4 linked regions of the Daphnia pulex genome follow. The protein of the gene in region 2 interacts with the protein of the main gene of each other region in a biochemical or structural test. Links are inferred from orthologs where the notes say so. Each region holds a gene or a part of one and is shown on either strand. Other genes may lie near its edges.

Region 1 (8,013 bases), on a different chromosome or scaffold from region 2:
CTAACTTATGATCAAATCAAATAAAAAAAAAATTATTTTCATCGCCACACAACTTCTAGTTTTACTTAACCATCACACATATTACACAACATTGCGCAAAGTAAAGACGGGATTGTACTTGCGGTAGGGTCGACATGCTGGCTGAGCAACAGAAGGACCAAAAGTCCCGTATGGGACTCGTAGTTTCGTGACACATTCTTCATCTTGGTTGACCGATAAAGGTGCATCGAGTAGTAGACTTTCTGGAACTCGTACTCCTCCCATCACTAAACAATTGACATGTGCAAGTCGCTCCGCTGGTTCTGGGCTGATCAAGTAGACACGGCCTCTTGTAAGGTCGATTCCTCTAATAATACCGTAGCCCAGACAAGGCATCAAAGGTAACTCTCGCAAAATTTTGGGGTATTTTCCGTCAGCAGCCTGGTAATATGGAACAGAAGCAGCGGCATCGTTGTCCAAAATGCAAAGAGCAACAAGCGAAGCGTTGAGAGCGGCCATTGTCAAAGCAGGTGGAACAGATTCATGGCAGATGCAAACGGCCAAATCTTGCCTTGAAATAGAAATTTTAATTGACACAATTATTCTTGAATACAATAATATTGATTGGGAAATCATTATTACCATGAAATGCAGTAGGGTACAGAATCCATTAACGACCAATGAGCGCTGTTAGATAGTTGGCTGAAATAGGACATTAGTCCAATTTGCCGCAATTCCGATGCACGAAAACCCCATTCTTCTAAACTTTTCTCCGATAGTTCCGCCGATGAATAGATTGCTTGTAGCTCGTAATTGGGTAATTTTTCTGACCACTCAGCAGCATCGGTTAGCCAGCCGCGTTGGTGTTGAGCAACATAATCACGTTCGAGCATTGAAGGGAAATTGCGACGAAGTGAGCGGCTGCTAATTTGAAGAAGTTGGTGTGGCTGGGTAAGACGAATCAAGTCTAAAGTTACATCCAGACCAATACCGCTAGTGAATCCCATGGTATTGATTAGTGTTGGAACGTTTTCCAAGGCAAATTTAAGCTTGCAGTCGATAAGAAGTTGCCGGCATGACCGAACATAGCGTTCCGGACAACCGATAATATCTGCATCCCCGACAAAGTATGAGAAAAGTGGCTGTTGAATGTGGGTAAAATTTGGACCAAGCAACGGTTCAGAGACTAAAGATGCTGTTACGCATCCCGCAGGAAAAAACTCTGGCTGGCCAGGATCAAAGTCCACCACCAAAACGGTTCCACACTTTTGGATGAGTTGATTAAGCAAGTAACGAAGTAGAGTTGATTTCCCCACTCCTTTTCCACCGAGCAACATTACTCTAACAGTTTCCTTTTTTTGATATTTATCCATTAATTGTTGTGCATACTCTGCCCAGACATCTGGTTGTAAATAGAATCTGGCGCTGAAAATGCTTCCGCGTAGAACAATACTCGTGTCAAGTTGGTTACAAAGTTTGCCAAATAGGTTGCGATTTTCATCTCTCCAATAATTAGATTCTGGAGGAACGCACTCTTCTTTCTTGAGGATGTTGATGGGGAAAATACGGCTGATGTAATCAATCATTCCAAAGTTAAGGGAACGCAAAATAAGCAAGACATTTTCAGAGCTCTTTTTCTTCAAAAGATTTTCTTCACACGTCAACCCAGCAGACTTCAAGAGAGCGTGAGCGCGGCTTGCATTAAAAGACGTATTGCTTTTTCCGACTGAACGGATGCACTGCAGACTGTATCCTCTAGGAGAAAAAACATGGTATGTTTTACTTAAATTCTGCTCAATAGAAAAGCCTTGCATCTCGGCAATCCCACTAAGACATGTCAAACTAAGACGTCCTTTGAAGTAAAAACATGTCTGAAATGGGATGAATGCTAGAACTTCATTGGGATTAATTAGAAGGAAATCAAATGTATCCAGAGTTTGGTAGACTGCTTGCAAAGAACTTGATTCCTCATCCATAGCAAAGGTTTCTTCAATACCTTCTTTTTCTGCTGTTAAAAAAGAATCATCCTCATTGGGAGAGGATTGGAATGAATTATCTTCATCAGAAATGTTGCTCTCCTTTAATTTAAGTTTTAAGGCACCAATGCCAGTCACCGACACACTTTGATTAATGGTTGAACTGTTGTCTACATTTAATTTGGATGATGTTTTGTTCTTTCGTGAAGTTTTTTTTTTAAGTTTTGATCTTTTCGAAGTTGGTTTGGTCTGTCCATTTTTTAAGGAATCATAGACACTTTTGGCTGAAAGCAAATGACTGACAAATGACAATTTTTTCTCTGCCATATTTGTTGAGTCAGAACTATCGTTTGTGTTGCTTTTTCTTGAAGAAGAAGCAGTCTTCGTTTTTTTGGTTGAGAGTTTCTTCATATTTGTCAAATCTTCGTGGAGGCTTAATGAATCTTCAAGAAAATTTTGGTTTGAGTTTTTATTTTAGTAAGCTATTTTAATAATATTCAATTATACCTGATTAGATCCTATTGTTATATTTTATTTTAAAAAATGCAGATTTTACAGTATTTTTAAGCAGCCGAATTTTCAATCCAAGCACGTGTAAAACTGTAAGCTATAACGCTCAAGTTGCCAGATGCTCTTTAATTCAGCGATCAAATTGTCGGCGGGAAATGTAACTATTATTACGCGTACTTTCTTTGTCATCATCATCACTCTATTTAATAATCGGCTAATAAAAAAGTCGACTATTGCGCCACCTTACTCGTTGATTACAGACATTTTTACTTTGGATTTTAGTAGGAATAGGGAATTGCCGGTACAAGGACTTACTTGCATCAGCTGATACCCGCCATTTCCCCATATCTACGTCGAGTCATCGGTGGGAGAAAGGTGGCAGCACGCAGCACTTTCGAGTTCATAGAAAGTACTGGTAATTACTGACTGACTTTCTGTTGCTCTCTTGCTCGTCATTCTTTCAGTTTGGCTATCTTTCGTTCCAATCCTGGTGTGCAAATTCGCCGGCATTTTGTCGTAATTGTTCATAATTCTCCCTTCGTTGGAATAGTCTAAGTGAGTATTCCAATCGTTCGGAGTTTGAAACTTACCGTAATTTTTTTTATATTAAAGTAAGAAAACTGGTTTGTTAGCACCCATTGTGACGCTCGTGTTGCCCAAGGTATTGAGTTTAATTTTTAGATGTCCACTGCTGAGGTGGATCCGTCACCCTCGTCTCCCAGTCCTGCTGCAAAGAAAAGGAAGTTGGAAGAAAATAACGGGAACAGCAGTAACGGTAGCAATCACCATTTAAAAGAAGTTCAGCAGCAACCGAAAATGGCAGGAAATGGCAACATCCACACCATCGATGAGGGTCTTTATTCCAGACAACTTTACGTATTGGGCCATGAAGCTATGCAGAGGATGGCAACTTCTGATGTCCTGATTTCCGGTCTTGGAGGCCTTGGAGTGGAAATTGCTAAGAATATCATCTTGGGAGGTGTGAAGTCCGTCACCCTTCATGACAACTCAATTTGCAAAGCCTCTGACCTTTCTTCCCAGTTTTATGTATCGGAAGCAGATCTGGGAAAGAACAGAGCTGAAGTTTCTCACAAGAGCCTGGCCGAACTCAACCAGTATGTCCCAGTAGAAACTTATACAGGAGAGTTGAACAAAGAATTCTTGAAGAAATACCGAGTTGTAGTTTTAACTAATTCAAGTCTTGAAGAGCAACTTCGGGTTTCTGAGATCGTTCGTAGCTTCGGCAATGCTCTCATCGTCTCTAAAACACAAGGTCTGTTTGCCCAAGTCTTCTGTGACTTTGGGGAAGATTTCACCATCATCGATACTACTGGAGAAAATCCCGTTTCTGCTATGATTGCTGGAGTGTCTAAAGAAGAAGCAAGTGTTGTTACTTGCTTGGATGAGACCCGGCACGGATTGGAAGATGGCGACTGTGTTACCTTCTCTGAGGTACAGGGCATGGTTGAGCTGAATGGTTGCGAACCCAAGAAGATCAAAGTACTTGGACCATACACCTTTAGCATTGGTGACACGAGCGCTTTCAGCGACTATGTACGTGGAGGAGTGGTTACCCAAGTGAAAATGCCTAAGCAAATCCACTTCAAACCGTTGGCTGACGCTCTCGAAGAACCAGAATTCGTGATGACAGATTTCGGCAAATTTGATCGGCCTCCCCAAATCCATCTAGCATTCAGGACATTGGACGCCTACGTCAAGAAGGAGGGACGATTGCCAACTCCTTGGAGCCGTAAAGACAGTCAACAGTTTGTGGATTTAGCTAAAGAGTTAAACAGCGGTCTAAGTGGCTCATCTAAAGTTGAAGAAGTTGACGAAAAGTTACTGGCCACCTTCTCCCATGTATGTCAAGGAGATTTGAACCCCTTAAACGCCACTCTCGGCGGGGTTGTCGCTCAAGAAGTTATGAAGGCGTGTAGCGAAAAGTTTTCTCCCATTGTTCAATGGCTATACTTCGATGCCACCGAGTGTCTGCCAGATAACCAAGATTCGTTGACCGAAGAAAACTGTAAGCTTACTGGATCCAGATATGATGGACAGGTATTGAAATATTTATTTTTGTTTTTCATCAGTTATGCATTTTATTTTTTTACATTTTCAGGTGGCAGTGTTTGGCAATGAATTCCAGAAAAAGCTTGGATCCCTACGTTACTTCATTGTGGGAGCTGGAGCTATCGGTTGTGAGGTAATTATCAAAGTTTTTGTAATAAATTTTCTGTAGATTTTATTAATTAAAAAATATATTCTATTTGTTAGCTTCTCAAAAATTTTGCCATGATTGGAGTTGGTGCTGGTGAAGGGGGCCAAGTCTTCGTAACAGACATGGACTTGATTGAAAAGTCCAATCTGAACAGGCAGTTTCTTTTCCGGTCGCATGACGTACAGAAACCCAAATCCAGTTCGGCGGCCGCTGCCGTGAAGGTGATGAACCCTCAGGCCAACGTTACAGCCTTCGAGAATCGCGTCGGTCCCGAAACGGAGCAGTTCTTTGATGACGATTTTTTTTCGAAATTGGATGGCGTTGCTAATGCCCTCGACAACGTGGATGCCCGTATCTACATGGATAGGCGCTGCGTCTATTACCACAAGCCCTTGCTCGAATCTGGAACTCTGGGTACCAAAGGAAACGTTCAAGTTGTTATCCCCCATCTAACGGAGTCATATAGTTCGTCTCAAGTAATATAGCTTATTATTTATTTTTTCTTTTATGCTAGTTTTCTGGTTTATTGTAATTAATCAACTTTCTTCTTAAACTTATAGGATCCTCCGGAAAAATCAATTCCTATCTGTACGCTGAAGAATTTTCCTAATGCCATTGAACACACACTGCAATGGGCTCGGGATATGTTCGAAGGGTTGTTCCGGCAATCAGCAGAGAGCGCTGCTCAATATTTAGTTGATTCTAAATTCATGGAGAGAACACTAAAGCTAACAGGATCTCAACCACTCGAGATAGTCGAGGCCGTCCACCGCAGCTTAGTTGAGGAACGTCCGAAGAATTTTGAGCAGTGTGTTCAATGGGCTCGCCTCCATTGGCAGGAACAATATCACAATCAGATCAAGCAATTATTGTTTAATTTTCCACCCGAGCAACTTACTTCTTCTGGTAAAATCTATTGATAAAGTGTAATTTACTTTGTATATAATTTTTTGTTTTGACAGGTCAACCGTTTTGGTCGGGACCTAAACGCTGTCCTCATCCATTGGAATTCGATATCACTAACCCCGTCCATTTGGATTATGTGGTTGCGGCTGCTAATCTAAAAGCTAAAATTTACAACATCCCACAGTCGCGCGATGTACAGGTGAGTTCACTTTTTTTAGTTAAAACATAATTTGATTTACAGTTGTTTTTATCCCCTCGGACTCGAATATAGGCTATTACTAAAATGGTGGAATCGTGTGTCGTACCGGAATTCGTACCACGTTCAGGAGTCAGAATTGCTGTTTCGGATGCGGAAGCTGCTGCTGCCGCCAACAACCCAGGCATGCTTGATGAAGACAGACTTACCCAGCTGCAGACGGAGTTGCCATCTGTGGACTCTCTGTCCGGCTTGCGCATTCTCCCCCTCGAATTTGAAAAGGATGACGACACCAACTTTCATATGGATTTCATCGTAGCCTCTTCTAACTTGCGGGCAGAGAATTATGATATCGCACCGGCCGATCGCCACAAGAGCAAACTTATTGCTGGAAAGATTATTCCAGCCATTGCTACTACTACCTCCGTCGTTTCAGGCTTGGTCTGCATCGAACTTTTGAAGTTGGTACAGGGTCATACCAATCCTGAGGCATTTAAGAACGGGTTTATCAACTTGGCTCTTCCGTTCTTTGGCTTTTCTGAACCAATCGCTGCTCCCAAGCAAACGGTATTGTTGGAAAATATTTTAATCGATTCGTTAACTAAAAAATTTTTTGTTTGTATTTGATTAAAGTATTACGACAAGGAATGGACCTTGTGGGATCGTTTTGAAGTGGAGGGTGAAAAGACGCTCCGGCAATTTATTGATTACTTCGAAAGCGAACACAAGCTGAAAATCACCATGCTTTCACAGGGTGTTTGCATGCTTTATTCGTTCTTTATGCCGCAAGCTAAACGAAGCGAACGTATGGATCTCCCCATGTCAGAGGTTGTCAAGCGTGTGTCGAAGAAGAGACTGGAGCCTCATGTCAAAGCACTCGTCTTCGAGTTATGCTGTAATAACCTTGAAGATGAAGACGTTGAAGTGCCCTACGTCCGTTACGTGCTCCCGACCGAATAAAACTATTTGATTACTCTACGTTGTGCGGCGGGTTGGGGGTTGGTTCATATTTGATTTCAAGGTTATTTACTACCATAATCATCAGTTCACTTGCGCTATATCCAATGTTGTGGACTATTAGCTTAGTTCGTTGCTTTCTTTAATTCTAAATAGAATTCTCTATGGAAGTTATGTTGACCTGGGTCATTTATAATCAATTCCAAGAGTTCTTTCTTCGTGCCAGTGAGTATTAAATGTTACCGATTGGATTAACAAAGGGCAAAAATCCTTACTCTACATGGCTGCAACTTTTTCAACAACCTCCCTTTCAACCCTTCCCCGTTTACCGATTGTACAACTGGCCTTGAATATTGGTATGAAGTTAATACATGCCGTCAAAATTAAATCCTATATAAAAATGTTTTTTTTTTTATCAAGTGCATTATCAACGTACTTAGCAAGTCTTTGACTTTGGTCGATTGATGATAAATCAATTGAGATAAATCAATGGCTGAAAGTTCGATTTATTCAATATTTATTCAATTAAAAATCTTCTTAATGATGTTACGGTATTGTCGTTTTATCGTAACAAAAATCAAAGTTTGCAATCGTCGTTTCGTAGGCAAAAATTTGTTAAAATAAAACATTAAATTATGACTTTGATTCTTGAAACTAGATGGCGTATCCCGCGACTGTTTAAATTTCCCGGTTTAAAAAAAATGGGGCTGGGATGATAAGAGTCGACTGCTCACTTGTTGTGTTAAAATCGTATAATATTCGCTAAACATTTAGTTCAATGGAAGTGGACGACAGCAAAAATTCATTCTTGTTACGAATCATCGACAATATGGCGAAGCAAGGCATGGCGAGTTTGTCTGGCGAGTCTGGGCCTCACGTCTCTCGTTACTTTCCTCGACCATCGGTGCCTACATCATCTAAAATCAATACTGAAAACCTACCAGTTGGTCTCATAAATTTAGGTTCCACTTGTTGGTTCAATGTTGCAGTTCAAATTTTATACCACATTCCTGCCTTTCGACAATTGATTTTACAGTTTGTGCCTCCTCAGACTACTGTGCCAATCCCGTCAATGGATGTTTTAGTTGGTCTTCAGGAACTTTTTGTCTCAATCACATTCTCCGATGAAAAACTGATTGATCCATCAAGAGCAGTGAATTCCATTGGAAAATTACTGGGGCAAGGTCTGGGTCAACAAGATGCCTGTGAATTTCTTGGAGTGGTACTTAACAGAATAAGAGAGATCAACCCACATGTAATTGAACAATTAT
Region 2 (6,880 bases):
TAAGACTTATCAACAAGACATTCAGCTAACTTATCTTCTGACCTCCTAGATTTGTTTGAATATGCCTTTTTGACATAGTTTGTTTGTATTTGTCTATTTTTACTCTTTTTCTACAGACGACATGCTAGCTGTCACAACAAATTGTTTCGAAATTTTTGGGATTGATAAACTGTGGAAATCAAGCCATTCGAAACGTTTCAAAGGAACGCCTTGAAAAAACCCGCAATTTAGCCTCCCGCACTCCGCATACCATACTTTACTGACAGTAAAGAAAACATGGCGGTTGCCTGTGCTGAAGGATAACAATGATATCTTCTTGTCCGACTTTCCATTGTTAATAGTTTGGATTCGGGGTTACTCCATATTTCCTTCAGAACGAAACGCTTTCAACTCAAGGAAAACGTAGCATTGTCACAGAGATATGTGAGATCGAAAATCTTCAACCCGGATCTTACTTATTCGTGACCTTCTTTAAGGACGGTAAATACTAAATATTGGCAAATAATCTATTTGTAAGAGTCTACGAACTCGTTGATAAAAGGAAGCCTTTGGAATTTTCGCTGCATACTTTACTTACCAATGTTTCAGTCGTTCTTTAATTCTAGATAGCTGCTTACAATTGTGGTCAGTTACAATATTCAAACAAATAATCAATCAGTTGAAATTGCTTACAACTTCTTGCTAATATATTTTATTGATTTGAATAGAATGTTAAACCATGGACTATGGTTGCAATGAAGATGATTTTATCACAGTATCAGAAATTCCTGTATTGGATCCTCCTCCTGGTTTTGAAGATTCTAGGAAGATGCTTGGCAATGTGGAAGATCGCTTCTATGATGACCCTTTCAGTGAAGAAGAAGATCTTGAACTTAAGCCAGTGCTAAATGACTGTGCTGTGTCTAAATTTGCCAGTGAAATGGCACACTCACTTCTGGCCATTGTTGTGAAACCTAAGGTTAGACTACGGATTAAGAAGCCAGCACCGTCTACAGAATCAAATTGCATTCAATCTGGATGTGATGTTTATTCACTCCCTGTTGACAGTTTGGCAAATATTGAAAGGCAGAAACAAAGACAAAACAACACATGCAGAAATAGACACAGTATTGCTGCTGTGCCAAAGTTAGAACCCAGTGAACCTGTTCATATGACTCTTGAGGAAGTCCAATCTTATTTGCGTGAATTTCAAGACACTTCTTTGTCAAGGAGACGTCCATGGATGGTTGTCCCCTCTAAATCGGTCGAGTCCACCTCCTCGGAAAGTAAAAGAAAAAGCTGCTTTGTTTGGACACCACACGTAGTCGCTAAGAATAGTAACTTTGATGATGCTCGAACAAAGCGAAGTCGAAAGAGTTTAAGTGTGACTGCTGCAGGAATTAAGCAAGCACTCTTCAGTGTTTTTCGCATTCCATCGCATCATCATTTATCGTATCATGGTGAATCATGCAATCAAGTGTGTCCTACCGGATGGACTTTCAGTACACCAGATAACAAATCGAGCAATCCACAGTGTACTGAGAGCTCACCATATCAACGTAGGGCTTTACCTCCTGTTCCGCAAGAAGAAGTTGGATTTGTTCGTGTTCCTTCTCGCCCCTCACCTACCCTTCCGTCTTTAATTGAATCAAGAGAAAGGGTAAAACAAGCGGATTTGGCAGAGGAAGTTTTGGATTCGAATGCTTCGAACAGCGTACAGAACGAGTTCGAAACAAATGTGAATAGCTCACCTGAGTTTAATATGGAAACGACTACCAATCAAACTAATCTAGACTTTGCTGCTTCAATCGAAGCTGTGAAGGACCATGGATGGTATTGGGGTCCTCTATCTGGTGAAGCTGCTGAGCAAATATTGTCCAACGAACCCGACGGATCTTTTCTAGTGCGAGGTATTAATAATATGTTTCTCTTTTGCTCTTGACAATTTTTTTAGTAACTGCCAAAAAAAAACCATTTTACATTAATTATGAATTTAGTTATTTCAAATATTTAAGAAATTGATTCATTAGAAAAATACGTAACTGTGTTAATAATTTCATAACGTTGTTACTTAGATAGCAGCGATGATCATTACATCTTCTCTTTGTCGTTTAAATTGAACGGCGGTGTAAGACACGTTCGCATCGAACACGATCATGGTAATTCATTTTCCGATTAATTAATTATCAGTTATTATGACTAAAATTCTTAAATCTTATTTTAATAGGAAACTTCAGTTTCGGAAGTGTTGCCCGATTCAAGAGCCAAACAATGGTTGAGTTCATAGATAAGGCTATCGAACACTCGAGGAGTGGTCGGTTTCTTTTTTTCCTTCATCGAAGGCCAACACACGGACCTACTCGTGTTCAGCTGTTGCACCCAGTATCACGATTCCGCCAAGTTCAAAGCTTGCAACACTTGTCCAGGTACATTTTTCAAATAAACTACATGGTTTAATTTGATTTAATTCACACATTAATTATCTTAGATTTGTTATTTTGAAGTTGATCAGGCGAGATCAAATCAGTATGTTGCCACTTCCCAAACGGTTGCGAGACTATTTAAATACAACTCACTACTACTCAGAGCAACTAGAAGGTTCTCTGCAACATTCCCACTTTGCCCCCTAGAATGGTGTCATTTCTAGTCATTGAAAAAGTATTTCTAATTTAATTTACAAATTCTCTCCGATTGGACAGATACATTTGCCAATGTGCATCTATAGAGTTTAATATAACCTTTCAATATATAGATAATATACAGTGTGTTTTCCCGACATAACACAAAACTGTCAAATACAATTAATGTCGAAGACGAGTTTTTATATTTTTTAAAAGGACAACCGCTTTCATAATTTTTCTTTTATTATATTGTACATATTACAAGGGAATATTCAATGATTTCCGAACGATTCGAGTTGCAATGCGATCAAATTCAGCTCGGTTTTCTCGCCACATTTTTGCAGCATCAATGTTTGCTCCACTCTCATCATTAGGTTCTGTAATAAAGAGGTTAATTAAGGGCGATTGTTTACCAATTTAAATACGGACCTGCCAACATGCTGATGACTGAAAGTAGAATCTTTTCCACACTCTGAACAGGACTCCATCGTTCAGCACTAGATTCATATCCTAAGGGATCATCACCTGGAGCATGTAAAATGGAAATGCAAACCCTTCCATCTGAATAGACTGGTAAATCAACTTGAGTATTAACAAGTGTTTTTATATTTAACTAAGTTTTTATTTAAATTACTGTTAGGATGAAACATTTCACAAGTAAACTGCATCTTTGGTGGGCTTAATGGATAATCAGTTGGAAATGTTAATTTTGCTGGAAAAACACCACCCTCAAAACATGTTCCGTCAGGTCCCCTATGGATTGTAAAAACCACCAATGTATTTAAAAAGTGAGACAAGATCATGCACAGAAAATGAATCAAAATATTTTACACAATGAGGCATTCCCAGTCAAAAAAATTCTCTTCGTTGATAGGACCAGCTACAATACCTTCAGGTGGATTCAAGGTAAGTTCTAAAAAAAGTCATACATTATCAAATAACTGCTAAGGGTTACTTAAATATGCATTACTTAAATTTGTAAAATATACAGGAATACCTAATAAGTTATAAAAATAACAAAAAATAACAATTCTCACGTTTGTACTCGGCCATTAAACGTCGAAGAGCAGACCCAGCCATTGTAACTACAGAATATAACACTTAATAAAATTAAACTGAAATCTAAACTTGATAAATGATGTCACACTGTCACAGGTATGATCAAACGTAAACTTGGAATCTGTTAATTTTGGTCTTTTTTCGTCTGCATATTACTTTGTAGAAAAGGTTGAGTTGAAGACCGCTAGAGCATGCTAGTCAAGAGGCAAATCGGTTGACAGGGGTCTGCAGACGGGCCGGCCAGTTTGCATGTTCTTCACGCTTGAAGGTCACGGTGAACATTACGTGTAAAACTGTCAGTGCGGTGGAGGTTGGGTGAGAAAGGTACGTGTTTCATCATTATCAAGCAGGTATAATAGCCGCAAGGCTCAGCCATTTGGTATTCATTTTGATATTTGTTGTTGTAGACCCATCCCCAGCAACGCCAACCTAAAGAAGGAAAGACCAGTTTGCATTTCCTTCACATTCGAAGGTCACGGAGATCATTACGTGAAACGTGTCATGCAGTGGTGTAGAGGTTGGGTAAGAACGGGACGTGTTTCATCATTATCAAACAGGTAAAATAGCTGCAAGCCATAACCATTTGGTATTCATTTTGATATTGGTTTTTGTCGACCCACCCCCCAGCAACTTCAAACTGCAGAAGGAAAGGCCAGTTTGACGCTCGAAGGTCACGGAGATCATTACGTAGAACGTATCATGCGACGGCGGAGAGGTTGGGTGAGAAAGGTACGTGTTTCATCATTATCGAACAGGTACAATACCCGCAAGGCTTAAGAGGTGAGGGTGATCAAAAAATCGTATAAAAAGGAGACGAAAAAGGCCAGAGACATCAGTCGAGTGAGGATCTCCGACACGGCAACAACTGCTGTGCGCTATCTGTCACCATCTGCCTTCTTCACCCATGGGTAAATATTCTGTCTCTACATAAAGTTTTTTATTAATGCCAATTATTTTCTGTTTGTTAAAATGCAAATTATTATTGATTAATAATGTTTGAAATTGTTTAATGTCTAGATAATAAGGCTGTTGGATGTTGTATCGTTGATTGGTGGGTCGACCACTGGTGTATTGATGTCTCCTGGGTATGGCGGATACCAAACCGCAACGCCACCGCTTTACTACCCAAAAGCAACTTACGCAACGACCAGTTCCTGCACCGAGGTCTACAAGTACTACACCCCTAAGGCACCGAAGTTTTATACCACAACTTACGCTGCCCCGATTTACTACACTGACGCCCTGAAGTATTACTCTGCCCCGAGTTACTACACCACCAAGGCGACGGAGCAGGACTACGCATGCTACCCCATTCTACTACACCGAGGCTTCCAAGTATTACTCTGTTCTCAGCTACTTATTGCACCTATATTAAGTATATTAAGTACTACTCTGTTCCCAGCTGCTACACCGAGGCTCCCGCTGATCTCCACCAAGACGGTCGAATACTACACCGAAGCGGCAAAGTACTACTCTGCCCCGATCTACACAACCACAACCGAGGCGGCCAAGTATTACGCAGTTCCGACTTGCTACACCGAAGCTGCTCTTTAGTGCTACGTTGAACAGATACTACACTGATGCTCCAGTTAACTTCACCACGACCTAAGCTACACCGCAGCCCCCAAGTACTACACCGAAGAAGCCGCCTATTACACAACAACGTATGCTGCCCAGTGTACTACACCGAGGCTCCCAAGTACTACATCACTAAGGGACCGGAATTCTACACGTCTATGTATGCTGCCCCTAACTACTACACCAAGGCCCTGCATTACTACAACACTGAAGCGCTCAAGTACTACACTACAACCTACGCTGCCCCGGGCTACTACACCTACGTCCCGGAGTAAAGAAAAAAAGAAGTCGTGCGCGAACTGCAGTGCCCTATCTGTCACCAACTGCATTCCTCATCGTGTAATCGATTCGCAATTATGGGTAAATATTCTTATTTTACATTGATTCTATGTTTTTTCTATTTGTTAATATGCCTGTTAATATTTAATATTAATGTTTAAATTTATTTACTGTTTATTTAACTATGGCGTCGTGCTCCTGTTGGGTGTTGTATCGTTGATGGCTGGGTCGACCGTTGGTGTAGTGATGTCTCCTTGGTATGGTGGAAACTAAACCGCAACGCCGCCGCCTTCCTATCCAAAAGCAAGTTACGCAACGACCAGTTCCTGCACCGAAGTCTTCAAGTACTAAAGCTACCGGAGTTTTATACCACAACTTACGCTGCCCCGAGCCACTACACTGACGCCCTGAAGTATTACTCTGCCGGTCTGCCCTGAGTTACTACACCACCAAGGCGACAGAGTACTACATGACTACGCATGCTGCCCCATCCTACTACACCGAGGCTCCCAAGTATTACTCTGTTCTCAGCTACTTATTGCACCGATTTTCCTAAATACTACTCTGTTTCCAGCTGCTACACCGAAGCTCCCGCTGATTACTCCACCAAAACGGTCGAATACTACACCGAAGCGCCAAAGTACTTTTCTGCCTCGATCTACACAACCACAACTGAGGCGGCTAAGTATTACGCAGTCCCGACTTACTACACAGAAGCTGCGCTTTCGTGCTACGTTGAACAGAAATACTACACCACGACCTGCTCTACACCTAGCTACAACACCGCAGCCCCCAAGTACTACACCGAAGAAGCCGCCTTTTACCCACCCACGTACGCTGCCTAGTTTACTACATCGAGGAATTTAAGTATTACCCTGCTCCAAACTACTACCAAGGTTCATATGTATTACATCAGCAATTCTCCCGACTATGTCACCATTTACGTTGCTCCGAACTATACACCGAAGTTCTGAAGTATTTCTTTTGATGTGTTGAAAGATTGCTGAAATACAAGATTGATTGATAAATCACAAGTGCATGTCTCTATTTTCTCCTCAAGTACCTTTCCTGCTGCTGATAATTGCATGATGTGAGAAAATATTTCTGAGTGCTATGTTAACTTACAAATAATTGATCTTGCAAAATACAACAATGAAAATTCAAACTCATGTTTTACATTTCAATAATATTTACTCTTTCCTTTTTATAAATTTTTTTTCTATCATTAAAATTCAAAGTCCAACAACCAATATTTTTCTAAAGATTAAAGTTCAATATTTTTAAAAATACAAAGTCCACATACCTATTTTTCTGCTAAGTCCAGACTTTTGTTTTTGAAAAAATTTTAAAAAAATTCCCCTTAT
Region 3 (8,054 bases), on a different chromosome or scaffold from region 2:
CAAGACGCCCATGAAGCAGACTTCGTTTCTTCGTCCTTCTTGGCCCAGTTTGCTGGATTCTTCTCATTAACCTTCTTTGCTTCATTCTAGAAATATGTTAATTACCTATTAATTAGTATATTTCATTAAATATGAAGAAGCAAAACCTAACCTCAGGTAAACTTCCAATTAAGTATTCTTTTAAAAGGTCCCGGGCATCAGTGGAATGTCCAACATCTTCAAATGGTTCTGTTGCGTCTTTCCCAGCTTGCTCCATCAGAACTTCTTCACCACCTGGATGCTTTGTTCATACAAGCACTTGTGTTAAATATATTTAAAAAAATTTACAAGTCATCGTTTTCGTCACTTACTTCTTCAAGAAACTTGGTGACATTATACACATGGCCATGGATGGTTATCCACACACCTGATTTGGAATCTTTGTGCTTACCAACTTCTTCCAATGTAATGATTTTTTCAGCCATTTCAAGATAAAATTGCTGATAACAAACTAAACACAGTAAAATAGGTGCTCAAAGAAAAATTTGAGGAGAAGTTTCAACTGAAACCCGGTCTTGCAACAGGACAAACCCCTTGTAACAGTCGACGTGAGAATTCCTTAATGCTAATGAAAATGAAACGCGCCATCTAGCCTCTTTTCTCCAAGCATAGATATATTATATAGCACTAGCGTCAAGGTTCATTCGCTATCTAGGCTTCATCAATTTTCTGTCGCGTCATTCATGTATATATTTAAAATGTAATTTTTTACATTTACAACAGCCAGAAGCCTAGAAATCCTTCAACTTCACCTGTTGAATGAGTATCAAGGTTGCCGCCGCTCTTCAAGGGTAGTACTTTTTTAAAAGAAACAAGGGCTTAAGAATGCAAGACTTTCAGTTTTGAAGTATGCCTTAACAGAAGCTTTTAATACAAGAAAAAAATTTTAAAAAAGATGTCACTGCCCTATTTATTTTCAATACACATTTTTATTTATAATGATGAAAGTTGAAAGGTTGAAACAGCAAAAAGAAATTTTAATGTACATAGTTCATACAACACGATCGCCATGTTTATTTTCAACTCCGCAAATGATCATCATGTCGTCTGGGCATTTTCATTCCTGTCGATCCTGTGATTGTAGTTGACAAGTCGGCGCCCCACCAAATACCTGTTAAGCATACAGTCGAATGAACATTTGTTATTTCATGACTCATTTATACTGTTTTCGCCTAAGCACACACAACTTTCATGAACTATAAATGTGGCAAAGTTTAAATACTTACTTGTCATTTTTTATGTGTTCATACAGCCGTTTAAACTGTTTCAACTGCCAGACTGAGAATACCATCAAAAGAATAACGACCAGAAATGACGGATATACTCTTCGAGCGATAAGAGCTCTAAGTTGTCGACTTGGAACTATAAAAAGAAGTTAAAAAGAATAAACAAAAGTTTCAAGACGTAATGATGCCCTCAAGATGATCTTACCAAAAAATGGAACGATCGAATGAGCTACGACGTATGGAAGGGCTAACGCCAAACCAAGAGTTACTATAGCAGGGATGGCAAGTTCGCAGAGAACAAAGGTCAAGTTCATTCGGCGAATTCCGTCCTGGTATAACTATTGAAAAGACGGAAAAATAAGAACCGAATTGTTGTTATTCTACGGAACAAATACCTTTTCTAACGAATGTTTCAACCACCAATCCGGTGACATCATTGTCAGCCCGCAAACTATTTTGGTATATAGAACTCCAAGACTCCAATCCTTTACAGTTCATCAAAATAAACAGAAGTAAATATTATTTTAAAGTTCTAGAAAAAAACGTATAAGAAATTTAAAATACAACTTGAGAAAGCGAAAAAATGGGCGATTGGTTGACAGCAACGCGTAGAGGAACTACGACAACGAGATCTAGTAGAAGCCCGAAGAGTAAGGGAATAACGCCAAGCAGTAGAGAAAATGCCACAGTACACTTCAATACCTAAAATATCCAGAATTTATAAATATTATTGGATACGCATATAAAGCAAGTAAAAACAAAACTTTCAACTAACCAAAATGGTATAGGATTTGATTCGAACAAACACGTTTGACCATCCTCGTGGAACCAAATGAGAAAACACGTGAATCCCACGAAGTACTAGCCAGCAAAAATATAGTCCGGCGAATGCCGTATATAATTCATGATGAGGACCAGCTCCATAAAACGTTTCCATTAAAAATCGACCGATCCAAACTAGCAGTTAATTATAAAATAAAAATCTCTTTATCAAATATACTTTAGTTTTTTTTTTTTAGTTTCATACCAGGAAGCGTGAGGAAAATTGTGCTCGCAACAGACAAGCTAATGCACATGATGAAAAGGAGAAGGATGATCCTAATAAAAAAGACCGGGGGTCGTAAATAGGGAACGTATCCTGCGGGACCTTCACGTTGCAAAAGCGCTTGATGAGCAGCTCCTAATCCTCCATTACGAAAAGGTATTCCTCCAAGGAGAATGTTTTCTTCTTGAGCAGGAGGTGCAGCAACAGGTTCTGCTGGTGCGGCAGGTTGATCCATTTGGTGATGTTGAACATCATTTTGCTCATTGTCATCATCTTCTTCTTCTTCTTCACCATTCTCACCAATTACTACTCCTTGGTTGTTGTGATGGGGTTGTCCTTCTCCCGACTGTAGGAAACAGAGCCATAGAATGATAAATGTCGAAAAAAAAATTGCAATTTATACAACCAACTTACCTCGCTTGAGCTAGACACGTCTCCCAACAAGTAAGAACGTAAGCCCAACAGCCAGGACACAGCTAGACACCACATTCTCAACCCATAAAGTAACCATTGACGAGCATGGTTTTGCTCCAACAGGCAAGGCATAATAACCTGCAACAACAGCAACTCCAACGAATATTCCGACACTTGGGTGTCCCTATTTATTTGAAAAATAAATGAGTAACAATCGTCTGAAACTTCTGCTGAAACTTTTGAGAACTTACGTCGAATTGACAATATAATAGGGCAAGAAATTTGGCATGCCCTTCTGCAAAATTCGTATGGGAACCCAAAGCATCAAAAACACGATTGTGCCGAATATCACTAGAGAAGCAGCAAACTGTCTCAAATGACGGACAATTGGAAGATGAATCATCTGTTAAAGGATCACAATTCGTTAGTGGTTTGTTCGGTAAAAAAAAAATAAAATAAAATAAGATTGTTGAAAATATACCTCCTGTACTGGATTAAAGTCTGGATCGTTCAGATTACGCAAAAACCACAAAACTCCTGGTCGTAAAACTTCACGTAATAGCAACACAAAAGAAGCAAAATAAAAAGCACATAGAATGCCCACTAGCCAATGAAGAAACATTGAAGTTCCCGGAGCTTGACTAAAGTTATGCAATCGATCCTGAAATAGGGGAAAATTGTTAGGTTTTCATTTTGGAAGACTTAATATATTTAACACTTACTTTAAAGGTAGCGTCAACAAGTGGTAGGCTACATATATCAAGCCACCAACCACAGACAATCGGAAACACACCAATTTCGGCGACAGTTAACAACGAGACTTTTACGACAACATAACAAAGCCCTAAAATCCGTTTCGGCCTATACAAATTACATGATTAATTTTGTACTGACATTTAATTATTTTTCTTATTTCTTACCTTCGCAATCGAAGAAGTGAAGTGACGCCATGGAGAAGTACGAGAAAAAGCCCAATGACAACATATCCACAAAGGGTCGTCAACAGCCCCTCAAAATGGCACGCTGACACCCAATCTTTCATCTTGAAACCAACGATCGTGAAGTGTCCGATGTGATAAGGACAAAATGCTTAAAATAAAATATGAAACTCAATAAGTTTCTCAACATTCGTAAAACATCAATAAGTCTTCTTACCAAAAACAAGAATAAAGAGTGTGTTAAGAGAAGCAACCCAAAATACGTGTTCCAGGAACACCAATGATCCATCCAGACCGAGAAGACGTTCCCAAGTCAGCTCCTCTGCTCTATCCCATTCCATCAAGTTCCAGTTGACATCGTCTTGAGCTTGGCCTTGAGCCTGCCCTTGTTGGCCTACATTATTAGGAGCTGGAACATTGGCTTCCCCAACACCTTCAGCATTTACATCTGCCCGAGCGTTATTCTGTACCGGAACATCTGCATCAACCCCAGGAGCTTCAGCTGGCTGTTCCATTTCAACATGTTCCTGCTAAAAAAAAATCATTATATAACAAAATAAAATTAAGAACACATAAAGACTGCAAGCTTTTTACCTCATTTTGAATATCTTGTTCTAACCAATCAGGTCCTCCACCATGAAGAATCTGCTCACGCAGCCATACCAATCCAATAAAAGCGCACAAGGTGCATAACACTACCACACAGCCATGCAAAATATCTGTGGCCACATGTTCGCTAACAAAGACAAACAAAAGTGAGAAATAGTAGATTATTTCACTTCAAAATGAACTCACGATGATAGCATATCCAATGGAAGAGTCAAAACAGAAGAGACAGATCCAGTAAAGAGACAGCGATAGATTCTGCAGGCTGTCAAAGGAACAATACCCAGCCAAGCCATGGCAACAAGTGTGTAATGGAGCCAAAATCTAATGGCCCTAGCAAGGCTGGAGACCAGACCAGAAAGTATGTCTTTAAGAGGCAGTCTTTTAGGCATGTCAGGAGAGTAAACTGCAGAAAATATTTTGTCATTTAAGGCTATGGTTCATTTGTTGTCACAGAAATCACTATTCATACTTGGAGTGAAGGAAAATCTATGTGTGCACAGCTCACAATATTCTTTTCTAGAATAACGTAACCATTGGACTAAACCTGCATAGGAGTGAATGATAAGTAAACCAACCAACATATTGATAAATAGATATGAAAAAGGCAAACTTACATTCTTGATGAATGAATTTTATACTTCCTGTACAAATACATGGATGAAATAATGGTCTGTCGGGTGTTCCTTCACACCGACAAACTCGACAAATGTCTGTAGCAAAGCAATATAATAATGAACAATATTGCTCAATCTTCAAAAATCGGGTCGGAATAAGAGTAAGAGAAAACTTACCTGATTGAAGAGATTCATCCATTTTCGTTTATTTAGGGCATCACAGTCCAAGAGCGACAAAAATATGTAGCAAATAAATATGCTATTTATTTTTTTGTTTGTGTTGTTAGAAGAACATTTGTCCCCTTTTAGAAAGGAGGTTGAGACGCAGGCAAAGGAAAAAGGTCAACTCGGGCTACTCGGCTCCGCTCGCTCAACGTAGTGCTCGCTCTCGCTCAACTATCTCAAAGCCAGCTGACTAGAGAACGAAGACTGACGAAAAAAATGTCTAGATTAAAAAAAGCAAATTGGTATTAGTCATCCAAATAAATTGTATGATTTTATAATTTATCAACGCAAAAGTGTTTTTAATTTAGTTATAATTACCGTTTGAAATTTTTCCGCAGTAATTAAAATGGTTAATTTTGTTTAAACAAGCAAAGAATAAAGCAGTCGCGGTGGCGCTGCTGGCTTTCCTGTTCAATTTCGATTTCACTAGCCGCTTTTGCTTCTCCTGATGTAAGTCATACAGTGTACTATCCACTAATCCAGCCGGAAATTAGAATTACGGATTTCTGAACACCAAAATCTATAAAAAAATTTAACGTTTAGGCGTTAACCCCAGTGGAAAAGAAGTTCACCCTCCAAAACTAAAGACCCACCTTGCCCAGTAATCAGTAGGCTACATTCGCGGTCAGTCTTGCATTTGCTATGTATAAATACTGGACTTTTTGCGCTTTAAATTATCCTCTCAGTGATTACAAGTAAAATTTTTCTGGCATTTCACCGAAGTACAAAATAACATCGATAAAAAATATCAGGATCGGCAATTACGAATGTGGAACGATTAATTAAATTAAATCGATCGATCGAATTAAATCGATTAATCGGATTAACGGGAGATGTATGTTGTCGTCTGCGACTCTGCGGCAATGTTTTGATGGAAATGTCATTTTTTTAGGTTGTTTTGTATAAATTAGAAATTCATCGTAGGAAAGCATCGAGCTGATTGATTCAAATCAGTATATAGTCGAATTCTTTGTTATGAAGTAAGAAGATTATAAAAATTAAATTGCACCTCAAAAAGGTAAACAACAATTGGTTATGCATTCCTCCAAACCTGAGAATTTGGAGCTAATAACTAAATTCCTTTTGCAATACATTGATTTTATACTTACTTTGCCAATTTTCTAGGCAGTGCACATCATAATGCTTCCTGGAATAGGAATATTCATTAGTGCTGGTACTATCATGAAGGTTTTAGTGCCTTATTTGCGAGCAAAAGGCTTTAAAGTGGATTCTGTATGGGCTCAGACACAAGAGGCAGCCAGAGAGGCAGCTGAAGAACTTGAAATTCCATTTTTTACAAGCAAAGTGGATGATGTCCTACTGAAGCGTGAAGTTGATTTGATTATCATCATGTGTCCACCAATTCTTCATGCTCAGATTGCAGTAAAAGCCCTAGGAATTGGCAAGCATGTGCTGTGTGACAAACCTGGGGGTTTAAGTCAAAGTGAAACACTCAAAATGGTTCATGCTGCTCAGTATTATCCATCACTTATCTCTGTAATGGCATATAGCCTCAGATTTTTGCCCTCTTTTCAGTATGTGAGAAATGTTATCAATGATCAGCTTATTGGAGAAGTAAATTACTGTGATATCCATGTACAACTTGGATCCCTCATCAATCCAAAAAAGTATGTTCATATCAGTTTAATGAATGCAATCAAAATTTAATTAATTTGTGGATGTAGCTATGATTGGACTTGTGAAGAAGGAATGGGAGGAGGTGTGCTGACCATGATCGGATCCCATGTTATTGACGTCGTTAGCGCGGTGATCCGGCAACGAGCTACTCGTGTTCATGGCGTTACTCGAAGAGGACTGGCTGTTAGGGGAGAAACGAGCATTCGTCGGATCACGAGTGATCGTTTTACTTCTTTTAATATGGAAATGAACGGCGGAGCTTTAGTTGCCGTTACACTTAACAGCCAAGAAGGTTTGAACAACTTTGACATTAGCTTCTCTGTAACTGGTTCACAGGGATTTATCACTTACCGCAGCGATCCTTCTGGTAACAAATAAGATACTAATTTGAAACTGATTAAAAAAATTCAAAGTTGTTTTTACTCTAGGTGGAACAGTAACTGGTCAGAGCAAGGCGAATCCCAGTGCCGAAATTTTCCATACCGACACAGACGAGCTATCATTTCTTCCATCTTCGATTGTAAACAATGCTCCGATTCAACCGCATCAAAGGCCGTACATTAATGGGCTTTTTCGTATGGTATGTAGCAATATGGCACAAGTGAATTCTACCAATCTACGTGTAATCAAATGTACGATTGTTAAACAGGTGTCGGCTCTTAGGGATGCGTTTTCCCGCGTTGAGGATCGTAGTGGATGGATTAAAGACGCTGTTTCTTCCGCTGCTACTTTTGAAGACGGACAGTATGTTATGGCAGTCATCGACGCCGTTAAAAGATCCAGCAAGATGCGAGAGTGGTCGGAAGTGTCTATCATCCACGAAGAACCAGATCCTAATCCGGTGTTAAGTGCCGCTGTTCGCAGGTCCACTATTTCCGCTGTATGAACACAACCAATGCAATAATTTTCTGTTAACGTATTTCAAGAACAAATTTTTTTTCTCTTCTTCTCACATCATTCAAGATTTCTTCAAATAACCTTGCTAAGAAAAATGTTTCATACGACTCTTTAGTTTATGTACCATTTTGACAGTTTTTTCTTTCGTCGTGTCGTCTCGTTCCCTCCTTATGCTTACACACGACTTTAAAATGGAACAACATACAATTATTTATTGTATTTCTATGAATAGATGACAAGTGTCTACGGAAACATCGAATGATTAGTTTTTTTTTCGAAACGTGACCAGTCAATGAAATAGCATTCAGAAAAATGTGCTAATAACTTATTAACTGACCTCGTACCGAAACCTTTTTCGCCCCATACGATACAAAAACTTGATAGGACTAAATTCGTTACTGCGGTAGCG
Region 4 (7,984 bases), on a different chromosome or scaffold from region 2:
GAACAAATGGGCAAGGCTAGAACGGAAGGATCCTGGAGACATAATTAAACAACTTCTGATGTAAGTTAACTGTTTAACATTTTACCATATTGGAATTACGTACTTAAGCTTAATTCCATTACTGGCTAATATTCAACCATTCATCATCGCACATCATCAATTACTCAATCACACATTCTAGTTTTTTTGTATTTCTGTGAAGTTCTCTCATAACGAGTTAATGATGATGAATTGATAAGCTAGTAAAAGCTAGCCGCAGTAATTCAAGAATCAACTTTTTTTACCTAACTAAAAAAAAGCCACCTGTGTGTTATCTTAAGTTATCTTCCTTTACAGAGTATTAATTGACTAATATGTTCATTATTTTCCTTATAGAAAATTAGCCATCATCCTAGGATGGGTGCTCTTCTGTTATGTTGCTTATAAAACAACTCAATATGACTATGAGTTTGCCAAATTTGATCCTTATGAAATCCTGCAAGTGGAAGTTGGCGCTTCCGCGGCAGTTGTCAAGAGTGCTTACCGCAAGCTTTCTGTCATTTACCATCCTGACAAGAAGACTGGTGATGAAAAAACCTTTATGAAAATTACAAGAGCTTACCAGGTATTAAGGAGTACTAGTTTTGCAACAAATTATCAGTATTAATCTTCTCGTTTTGCTTCGAAGGCTTTGACGGATGAAACAGCACGAAGAAACTGGGAAATGTACGGCAATCCAGATGGACCTGAAGCCATTAGTTTTGGCATCGCTCTACCGTCATGGATTGTAGAGAAAGAAAACTCGATTTGGGTTTTAGGGCTGTACGCTTTGCTGTTCATGGTTGCTTTACCCGTGAGCGTTGGGACGTGGTGGTATCGTTCGATTCGATATTCGGGAGAACAAGTGCTGCTTGATACGACACAGATGTACTACTACTTTTTCCACAAGACTCCGCACATGGCAATCAAGCGAGTGTTGATGATCCTCGGTGCATCAGCCGAGTTCCACAGACGCAACAATCCAGAAATACAAGAACGTCGCAGTGACAATACCGAAGTGCCCCAACTGATGAAGCGACTACCTCAGCTCAATGAAAAGAATAAAGAACGGCCGCTGTGTTTCCTGTATTCCATCAAAGCTCGCGCTCTTTTACACGCTCACTTAACCCGACTAGATCTGCCGCAGTCGACGTTGGAAGAGGATCGCTGTGCTGTGGTATGCATTTTTTTTTTTTTAATTTCAAACACCGCATAGAAATTTTCTTTGAACATTCATTCTTCAACAGATCAAGAAGTGCCCCGCGTTAATTCAAGAAATGGTTGTGTGCGTATCTCAACTCATCATGTTGGCCCATGCAGGGCGGCTGAGCCGCATGCCGTCTCTGGTCACATTGGAAGGTTGTATGAAACTTTCGGCCATGGTCGTTCAAGGACTTTGGGAATGCAAGAGTCCTCTCATGCAATTGCCTCACATCACCGACGAAAATCTCAAGTACTTTTCCAGCAAGCGATATCAGGTAATTATTTTTGTGTGTTAATCAAGCTGAAAAGTTAGATGGTTTTTTTAACGAGCCATTGTGTCGCAACAGATCCGCTCGCTGGAACAGCTAGCCCGACTGAAGGACGAAGATAGACGCGAGTGCTTACGTCATCTTGACGACAATCAATACAATGATTTGGTTCTCGCTCTGGGAGGAATGCCTTATGTGGATATGAATATTAAATATGAAGTAGTGGATGACGAATCCACCACAAAGTACACAGCTGGCGCTATCGTCACGGTAAGATGAATTTTTACAAAATAGTTTCAACGGTCGGAGAACTCATTCTTTTAAATCAGGTTACGATCGCCTTGGCAAGGAGAGATTTGAGCGTTCTGTTCGCTAACGAGAAGGAAACAACAAATGAAGTTTTCGAGAACGGTGAAGTGATAGCGGAAGAAGAAGAAAAACAGGAACCCAAAAAGAAGTCACTACCGTGGCAGAAAAACAAAGGCAAGAGAGCTACTAATAAAAAAGGCAGCAAAAAGCCAATAAAGAAGGAAGTAGAAGATAAGAAGAAGACTGCAGCAGCATCAAGTAAAACAGCTAACAAGACAAAGGAAGAAGAATCCGAAAGTTGTAGTGAAGTTGAAGCCGAGGACGAAGTTGAATTGGACGAATCTGACGACGGCGAGGCGGAAGCAGCCAACAATGATGGTTCTTTGCCCGAGAAAGACGACGATCAATTAGAAAAGCTACAGAGTGATGTTGCAATGCGTCGCCAGAGGCTGCTGGAGGGTAAAAGTCAGTTTTCGCACTCGGTGTACTGCCCGTTCTATCCCGAAGACAAACAAGAATATTGGTGGGCTTATATTACGGACCGGAAACAACAAATGCTTCTGACCGCCCCCTATCACATTACCAATCTAGTAGAGCACGAAGAAATCCAACTCAAATTCACAGCTCCGTTCAAGCCGGGATTCTACACGTTCGCCGTGTGTTTACGCTCCGATTCATATTTTGGTTTTGATCAAATGAAGGATATCAAGGTATATTCCGGCTAATTATTTTAATTTTGCTAAATAGGTTATTGATTGATTAAAATTTTAATTCACAGATGGACGTTAAAGAAGCAGAGGAGATTCCTACTGAGCATCCACAATGGGATATTTCCGATGATGAGGATGAAGAAGATAAGAACTCTGGAGGCTCCGAATCTGAATTTGCTACCGATGATGATGACGAAGAGAGTGGCAAGGACTGATTGCAGTAGAAATGAGACTTTTTTTTCACTTGCCAGAGACTTCAACATTCTGTTCATTGGGAAAAAGGATTCAATTTCATCACCGTCTTGTAAAGGCTTAAAATCTTGAAAAATTTATTTCTAGTGGGAATCTTCTGGCTTTATTTTCATTGGCTATACATATGGGTATTTATCATTCCCTATACCTCGACTGCCGATTACACAAATCTTGTCTAGGCCTTCAATCGGTGAAACACGGGATGTTTGCAATATTTTGATTGTGACAGTTGGAAAATTAAAGGCTTCTTAAGACTTCCCTAGAACAGCATTTGAATATTTCGGATAAATGATTCATTTCAATTTTCAATTAACAGATTTGTCTAGATTATTATAGGAACCAAATGTCATCAATTTCTTGACTAGTATAGCGTAAAGAAATGTACACTCTCCACCCTTATACTACCCGACACCAAGGAACCACGGTACTTTATAAAAGGGTTGATAAAGAAAGCGGAAAGGTTGTCTTATCCGAACCAGTGACTTCCCATGCACTCTCTTGTCCACTCCGTTTGACAAACCCAGCACCAATGAAATCCACACTGTTGTCGAGTACAGATCATGTGCATACAACCTCCTGTGAACAAACAAGAAATTAGCTACACCGTTAGAGAAATAATCCCAGATCATAATTTAATTTACCATCTCGCTCGGTTGGCGTTCGGCACTTTGGGCAAGGTTTTGAAGTAACACGTATGGTAACGCGACTGTCTGCATCCCACCTCGCCTAAGTAAATAATTTCATGTTACTCATTTAATCTAGAATCAAGCTCAAATGTGGATATTAGAGAAACCTGAGCAGCTCGTCCGGGATCTACAACGTACTCGGTGGTTGTCAACATGGATTGAAAGTTGTTTTCTCCATTTGTCTGACACTCGTCGATGTGATAGCCTTGTAGGCAATCGCGGCAGAACACGAACTGAGTTGCGAAAAACATTTAGACATTTTTTAACAAGGTTATATTTATGAGAATATGCTTACCTCACATCCCCCTGTGCATTGAATTCGGCGACAAGAAGGGTCCGCAAGTAAGCCCATTCCACAGCCAGGTTGTGGACAAAGCACACCACCTGTCGACATAACATATTCCTCTGCTCCAAAGTGCAGGAGTCGTTGGTACTGCTCATTTCCTAGAATTTTAAAGTGCTGGGTTCCGTCGATCAATGAGTTCTCACATCCAGCTGGACAAGGCAGGGTATAACCGATATTGGGATCGAAGACAAACCTCCTTTCGTTCAATCGAGACATACAGTATTGCTGGAAGCACTCCAAACATATCACATGAGAGTTGGTACATTGAAATACCAAAACAGGATCACTAAAGTGGGATATTAAAATAAGTTGCCAAGTTACTGAATTCTATCTTAACTTTAAAACGATTGCTACCTAATATCCATGCAGGCCAGGCACTGAACCTGTTTGAAGTTTGATTTGACGAGATTCAGAGGAAGAGTTGAGTCAGTCTCTCCTCGTGAAGGGTGATGTGCGCACTTGAAGTAGAATTCGGCCCACGAATGATCACAATCTTCCATCTGACAAGTACCACTAACTTGCTCCGGTCGTAAAACATCATCCCAGCAGCAAGGATCTCGGTCCACGGTGAAGGCACCAGCTTTGCAAAGGCTACATCGAACTCGAAGTTTACCACTTTGTATTGATTTGCATGGAAATTCACAGTAAACATAAAACTGAGCTTTCTTTTGCTTATACTCTGGAGAACTACAAGCTAAAAACGAGGAAGTTGTCAGAATTCATAAAATGATTTGGAAAACTATTTGCAGACGTACCCAGAGATTTGTGCAACAATTTCTGTTCCTCTTCAGTTAACTGCAAGTCGAGCAATGTTTCACAAAGAGGCTTGTCTTGATGAAATGGTGTATTTCTCCTATTTTTGTCTTCGGAAGAAGTTGCATCAGTTTTTTTTATGACTTTAAGTTTAACAGCATTTAGAATACTATTATGACCAAGATCACACTCCTAAAAATTTGTTGGGTAAATTAAACTTAGAATATCAACAAAAGCAATATAAGAAATTAACAAACCTCTAGTAACAAGTCATCAGCAAGACTTTTGCCAGCCAAAATAATGCTGATATCTTCAACTTTCAGACCAACTTTAGGGGCTATAAATTTCTTGATCCGAGCTACATCCCAATCTCGACTCATTTCGATAAGAAATGTTTTACCTCCTGCAGCTTTTATGTGAACAGGCAGGGTAAATTCACTTGAATCACTGGGCCAAAAAAATCTCAAAATTCTGTTCAATAATGAACGTATGAGCGACAACAGCCATTTAATCATTCTGTAGGTTTACGTGAAAAACCCAAGATTGAAGAACATTATGAAAGCGAGATATCTACGTAAAAAATGTATAATTTAAATAACCAAAAATATTTTATATTTTTATATTGCATACCGGCACGAACTGAAAATATTGTTTACGTTGGCTTCGGTTGAAATGAATTGGAACAAACGTCGTCTGCAGTCTGCTGTGAAATGGACTAGCAACAATTTCGTCATAATATTTAGTTAGTAGGTTGACGCTAGCACCTTCTCTTCGTCACTCTCATCAACAAGTCAACTTCGTCTTATTATATTTAGCAGAGTATATAAAAGGTAACGAAATTATCTGTTATTCTGGTGTTTAGTGAGATTGTGGCTTGTAGGCTTTTATGGCTCTAGAAGGTCAACTTAAACTTGTCAAACTAAAAACTGCTGTAAATTTCTAGAATAAGTAATGTCGAAAAATCCTTGATATACTTAACCTCTTTCGTAAGCCCCTCTTTTTCGGTCATACCTACACGTTTATTTACATAAGTAATTATCGAAATCCGTACTTTAACTGAAAATGACGAACCCAACAGAAGTCGACCAAATCATGTTACTGGGTTACTTTTAATTAAATTAGTTTTAGGTCTTATATAACGTTACACTTCTTATAGCAACTAACTAATTATTCTAAAATTCAACCTTGGATGAAAGAAATTTATACAACTATTAATTTCCAGAAAATTAGAAAGAAGTTGGTAATTAAACAATACTGATCTAGTTTAATCCAAGATATTGAAATGTCTGGCAGGAAAAATCTTTTCAAGCAACTAATGGTGGCCCTGAAAAGGGCCGATTGGTAAGTCAAAAGGGAAAAGGTCGCTTAGGCACGTTCACCACGAATACGACGAGCGAGCTGGATGTCTTTTGGCATGATGGTGACTCGCTTGGCGTGGATGGCGCACAAGTTGGTGTCTTCGAAAAGACCCACCAAGTAAGCCTCGCTGGCCTCCTGCAGGGCCATGACGGCCGAGCTCTGGAAACGCAAATCTGTCTTGAAATCCTGGGCGATTTCTCTGACCAAGCGCTGGAATGGCAACTTGCGGATCAGAAGCTCGGTCGACTTTTGGTAGCGACGGATCTCACGAAGGGCGACGGTGCCGGGACGATAACGATGGGGTTTCTTGACTCCTCCAGTGGCCGGGGCACTCTTGCGAGCGGCTTTGGTGGCCAACTGTTTGCGGGGCGCCTTGCCACCGGTGGATTTACGAGCAGTTTGCTTGGTACGAGCCATTTCGAGCGAGTGAAATTTCAGATGTCCTAACTAGTGAAAAGTGCTTGGTATATGTGGGGAACCTACGGACGTTGCAGAGCTAAGCGAGTTCACTGGCTAGGGATTGGTTAATTCAAAAATGGGAGGGAATAGAAAATTTATAACGGAAATCCTTTTTGTTGACAAATGATGGCTGGAGCTGAGTTCCACCAATAGGAGTTCAGCTTGAGGATCCGGTAGGGTATATATTGGGACCATAGTGAGTTTAACATAACATCATTCGATATTTTTTAAATCTCTGAAACTTATTTGAAAATGACTGGTCGCGGCAAAGGAGGAAAAGGACTCGGCAAGGGAGGCGCCAAACGTCATCGCAAAGTTTTGCGTGACAACATCCAGGGAATCACCAAGCCGGCCATCCGTCGTCTTGCCCGTCGTGGTGGTGTCAAGCGAATCTCTGGTCTCATCTACGAGGAGACCCGCGGTGTGTTGAAGGTGTTCCTTGAGAACGTGATTCGTGACGCCGTCACCTACACTGAACACGCCAAGAGGAAGACGGTGACGGCCATGGACGTCGTCTACGCATTGAAACGCCAGGGCCGCACTCTGTACGGCTTCGGCGGTTAAATTTGATTCCGATTTATTATTTTAACTCCTGACTCAATCCAATCGGCCCTTTTCAGGGCCACCATTTACTTAAAGAAAAAGATTTCTTAACCACTTTTTAAACCATATTCTTGTCGACTTTATGCTGCTACAAGAACAAAATCCTTGAATTTTGAATTAATAAGCATCATTCTTTTATTTCATCTTTGAAAGATTTGATTGACATAGCAGGTGTTGGAGCAATGCGTCCTAAAGGATCTTGTGATCTGAAACTATGTTAATCCAAATAACTCGATCGAAAAATATCGAGATGCTGTTATGTTATTGATATTGTTTTCTCAGATTTTACGCAGTATTTTTATTTTTAACTTTCATATTTAACAAAAATCTTCCTTAGTTCCTTAGTATGTAGAAGGAGTTGCTAACGGAGATAAATTTTAATATCAATCATTTTCTAAATCAAATGAATATGTAAAATCAACGCATTGAACCGGATCTGCCAAACTTAAAATTCAGCAGAAAGATAGAGAAAAGCTCTTGATCACAGTATTTCCTAACGTTCCGTCGCACTAATCAACAATATGGGTTCAGTTTAGAACTCGATTAGATAATAAATGTCAAAAGTAGTTAGATGTTTTTCCTTTCTTTAAAATTTGGTGGCCCTGAAAAGGGCCGTTTGGTTTGTAGAGAGAACAAGAGGATCACTCTACTTGGTGCTGGTGTACTTGGTCACTGCCTTGGTGCCTTCAGACACGGCGTGCTTGGCCAACTCACCGGGCAAGAGCAGACGGACGGCCGTCTGGATTTCCCGGCTGGTGATGGTCGACCGCTTGTTGTAGTGGGCGAGACGGGACGACTCTCCAGCGATGCGCTCGAAAATGTCGTTGACGAAGCTGTTCATGATGGTCATGGCTTTGGAGGAGATGCCAGTGTCGGGGTGGACCTGCTTCAACACTTTGTAGATGTAAATGGCGTAGCTCTCCTTCCTCTTGCGCTTCTTCTTCTTGTCGCCCTTGGCGATGTTCTTCTGGGCCTTGCCGGCCTTCTTCGCAGCTTTACCGCTTACTTTAGGGGGCA

The links.
Region 1: of the proteins of ubiquitin-conjugating enzyme E2 G2-like (region 2) and ubiquitin-like modifier-activating enzyme 1, one has a biochemical effect on the other in vitro, tested with the Homo sapiens proteins (5 studies listed by BioGRID, with this or other methods). The link is inferred for Daphnia pulex from reciprocal best matches to the Homo sapiens genes UBE2G2 and UBA1.
Region 3: the proteins of ubiquitin-conjugating enzyme E2 G2-like (region 2) and E3 ubiquitin-protein ligase MARCHF6-like form a complex in vitro, tested with the Homo sapiens proteins (2 studies listed by BioGRID). The link is inferred for Daphnia pulex from reciprocal best matches to the Homo sapiens genes UBE2G2 and MARCHF6.
Region 4: the proteins of ubiquitin-conjugating enzyme E2 G2-like (region 2) and E3 ubiquitin-protein ligase parkin-like form a complex in vitro, tested with the Homo sapiens proteins (6 studies listed by BioGRID). The link is inferred for Daphnia pulex from reciprocal best matches to the Homo sapiens genes UBE2G2 and PRKN.

What each region holds. Positions count from the first base shown.
Region 1 is NC_060018.1:5,971,543-5,979,555, reverse strand, and holds ubiquitin-like modifier-activating enzyme 1, read left to right. Parts: upstream 1-2,726; 5' UTR 2,727-2,874; exon of another isoform or gene 2,875-3,020; intron 3,021-3,126; 5' UTR 3,127-3,146; coding exon 3,147-4,523; intron 4,524-4,584; coding exon 4,585-4,668; intron 4,669-4,739; coding exon 4,740-5,159; intron 5,160-5,243; coding exon 5,244-5,589; intron 5,590-5,645; coding exon 5,646-5,788; intron 5,789-5,860; coding exon 5,861-6,352; intron 6,353-6,418; coding exon 6,419-6,745; 3' UTR 6,746-7,130; downstream 7,131-8,013. Other genes in the region: polynucleotide 5'-hydroxyl-kinase nol9-like, read right to left, coding at 82-550, 622-2,366; uncharacterized protein LOC124207205, read left to right, coding at 7,521-8,013. UniProt on the Homo sapiens protein: Catalyzes the first step in ubiquitin conjugation to mark cellular proteins for degradation through the ubiquitin-proteasome system.
Region 2 is NC_060021.1:11,409,632-11,416,511, forward strand, and holds ubiquitin-conjugating enzyme E2 G2-like, read right to left. Parts: upstream 3,790-6,880; 5' UTR 3,681-3,789; coding exon 3,638-3,680; intron 3,514-3,637; coding exon 3,432-3,513; intron 3,354-3,431; coding exon 3,235-3,353; intron 3,171-3,234; coding exon 3,030-3,170; intron 2,978-3,029; coding exon 2,859-2,977; 3' UTR 2,826-2,858; downstream 1-2,825. Other genes in the region: uncharacterized protein LOC124194765, read left to right, coding at 719-1,889, 2,055-2,138, 2,207-2,405, 2,468-2,609. UniProt on the Homo sapiens protein: Accepts ubiquitin from the E1 complex and catalyzes its covalent attachment to other proteins. In vitro catalyzes 'Lys-48'-linked polyubiquitination. Involved in endoplasmic reticulum-associated degradation (ERAD).
Region 3 is NC_060020.1:1,681,351-1,689,404, reverse strand, and holds E3 ubiquitin-protein ligase MARCHF6-like, read right to left. Parts: upstream 5,288-8,054; 5' UTR 5,085-5,287; coding exon 5,063-5,084; intron 4,982-5,062; coding exon 4,886-4,981; intron 4,816-4,885; coding exon 4,741-4,815; intron 4,675-4,740; coding exon 4,458-4,674; intron 4,399-4,457; coding exon 4,257-4,398; intron 4,193-4,256; coding exon 3,880-4,192; intron 3,814-3,879; coding exon 3,645-3,813; intron 3,586-3,644; coding exon 3,447-3,585; intron 3,386-3,446; coding exon 3,206-3,385; intron 3,128-3,205; coding exon 2,976-3,127; intron 2,909-2,975; coding exon 2,725-2,908; intron 2,657-2,724; coding exon 2,293-2,656; intron 2,223-2,292; coding exon 2,041-2,222; intron 1,968-2,040; coding exon 1,833-1,967; intron 1,751-1,832; coding exon 1,661-1,750; intron 1,604-1,660; coding exon 1,471-1,603; intron 1,402-1,470; coding exon 1,266-1,401; intron 1,160-1,265; coding exon 1,078-1,159; 3' UTR 931-1,077; downstream 1-930. Other genes in the region: cytochrome b5-like, read right to left, coding at 1-86, 152-280, 351-464; glucose-fructose oxidoreductase domain-containing protein 2-like, read left to right, coding at 6,251-6,738, 6,796-7,115, 7,177-7,328, 7,398-7,634; protein l(2)37Cc-like, read right to left, coding at 8,041-8,054. UniProt on the Homo sapiens protein: Endoplasmic reticulum membrane-associated E3 ubiquitin ligase that plays a critical role in mitigating endoplasmic reticulum stress, the regulation of cholesterol and lipid homeostasis, and ferroptosis.
Region 4 is NC_060026.1:3,259,647-3,267,630, reverse strand, and holds E3 ubiquitin-protein ligase parkin-like, read right to left. Parts: upstream 5,288-7,984; 5' UTR 5,177-5,287; intron 5,117-5,176; 5' UTR 5,062-5,116; coding exon 4,804-5,061; intron 4,739-4,803; coding exon 4,549-4,738; intron 4,488-4,548; coding exon 4,148-4,487; intron 4,080-4,147; coding exon 3,743-4,079; intron 3,681-3,742; coding exon 3,555-3,680; intron 3,488-3,554; coding exon 3,403-3,487; intron 3,338-3,402; coding exon 3,228-3,337; 3' UTR 2,725-3,227; coding exon of another isoform or gene 2,578-2,724; 3' UTR 2,516-2,577; downstream 1-2,515. Other genes in the region: translocation protein SEC63 homolog, read left to right, coding at 1-60, 376-604, 668-1,195, 1,266-1,496, 1,569-1,760, 1,820-2,509, 2,578-2,724; histone H3, read right to left, coding at 5,912-6,322; histone H4, read left to right, coding at 6,617-6,928; histone H2B.3, read right to left, coding at 7,614-7,984. UniProt on the Homo sapiens protein: Functions within a multiprotein E3 ubiquitin ligase complex, catalyzing the covalent attachment of ubiquitin moieties onto substrate proteins. Substrates include SYT11 and VDAC1.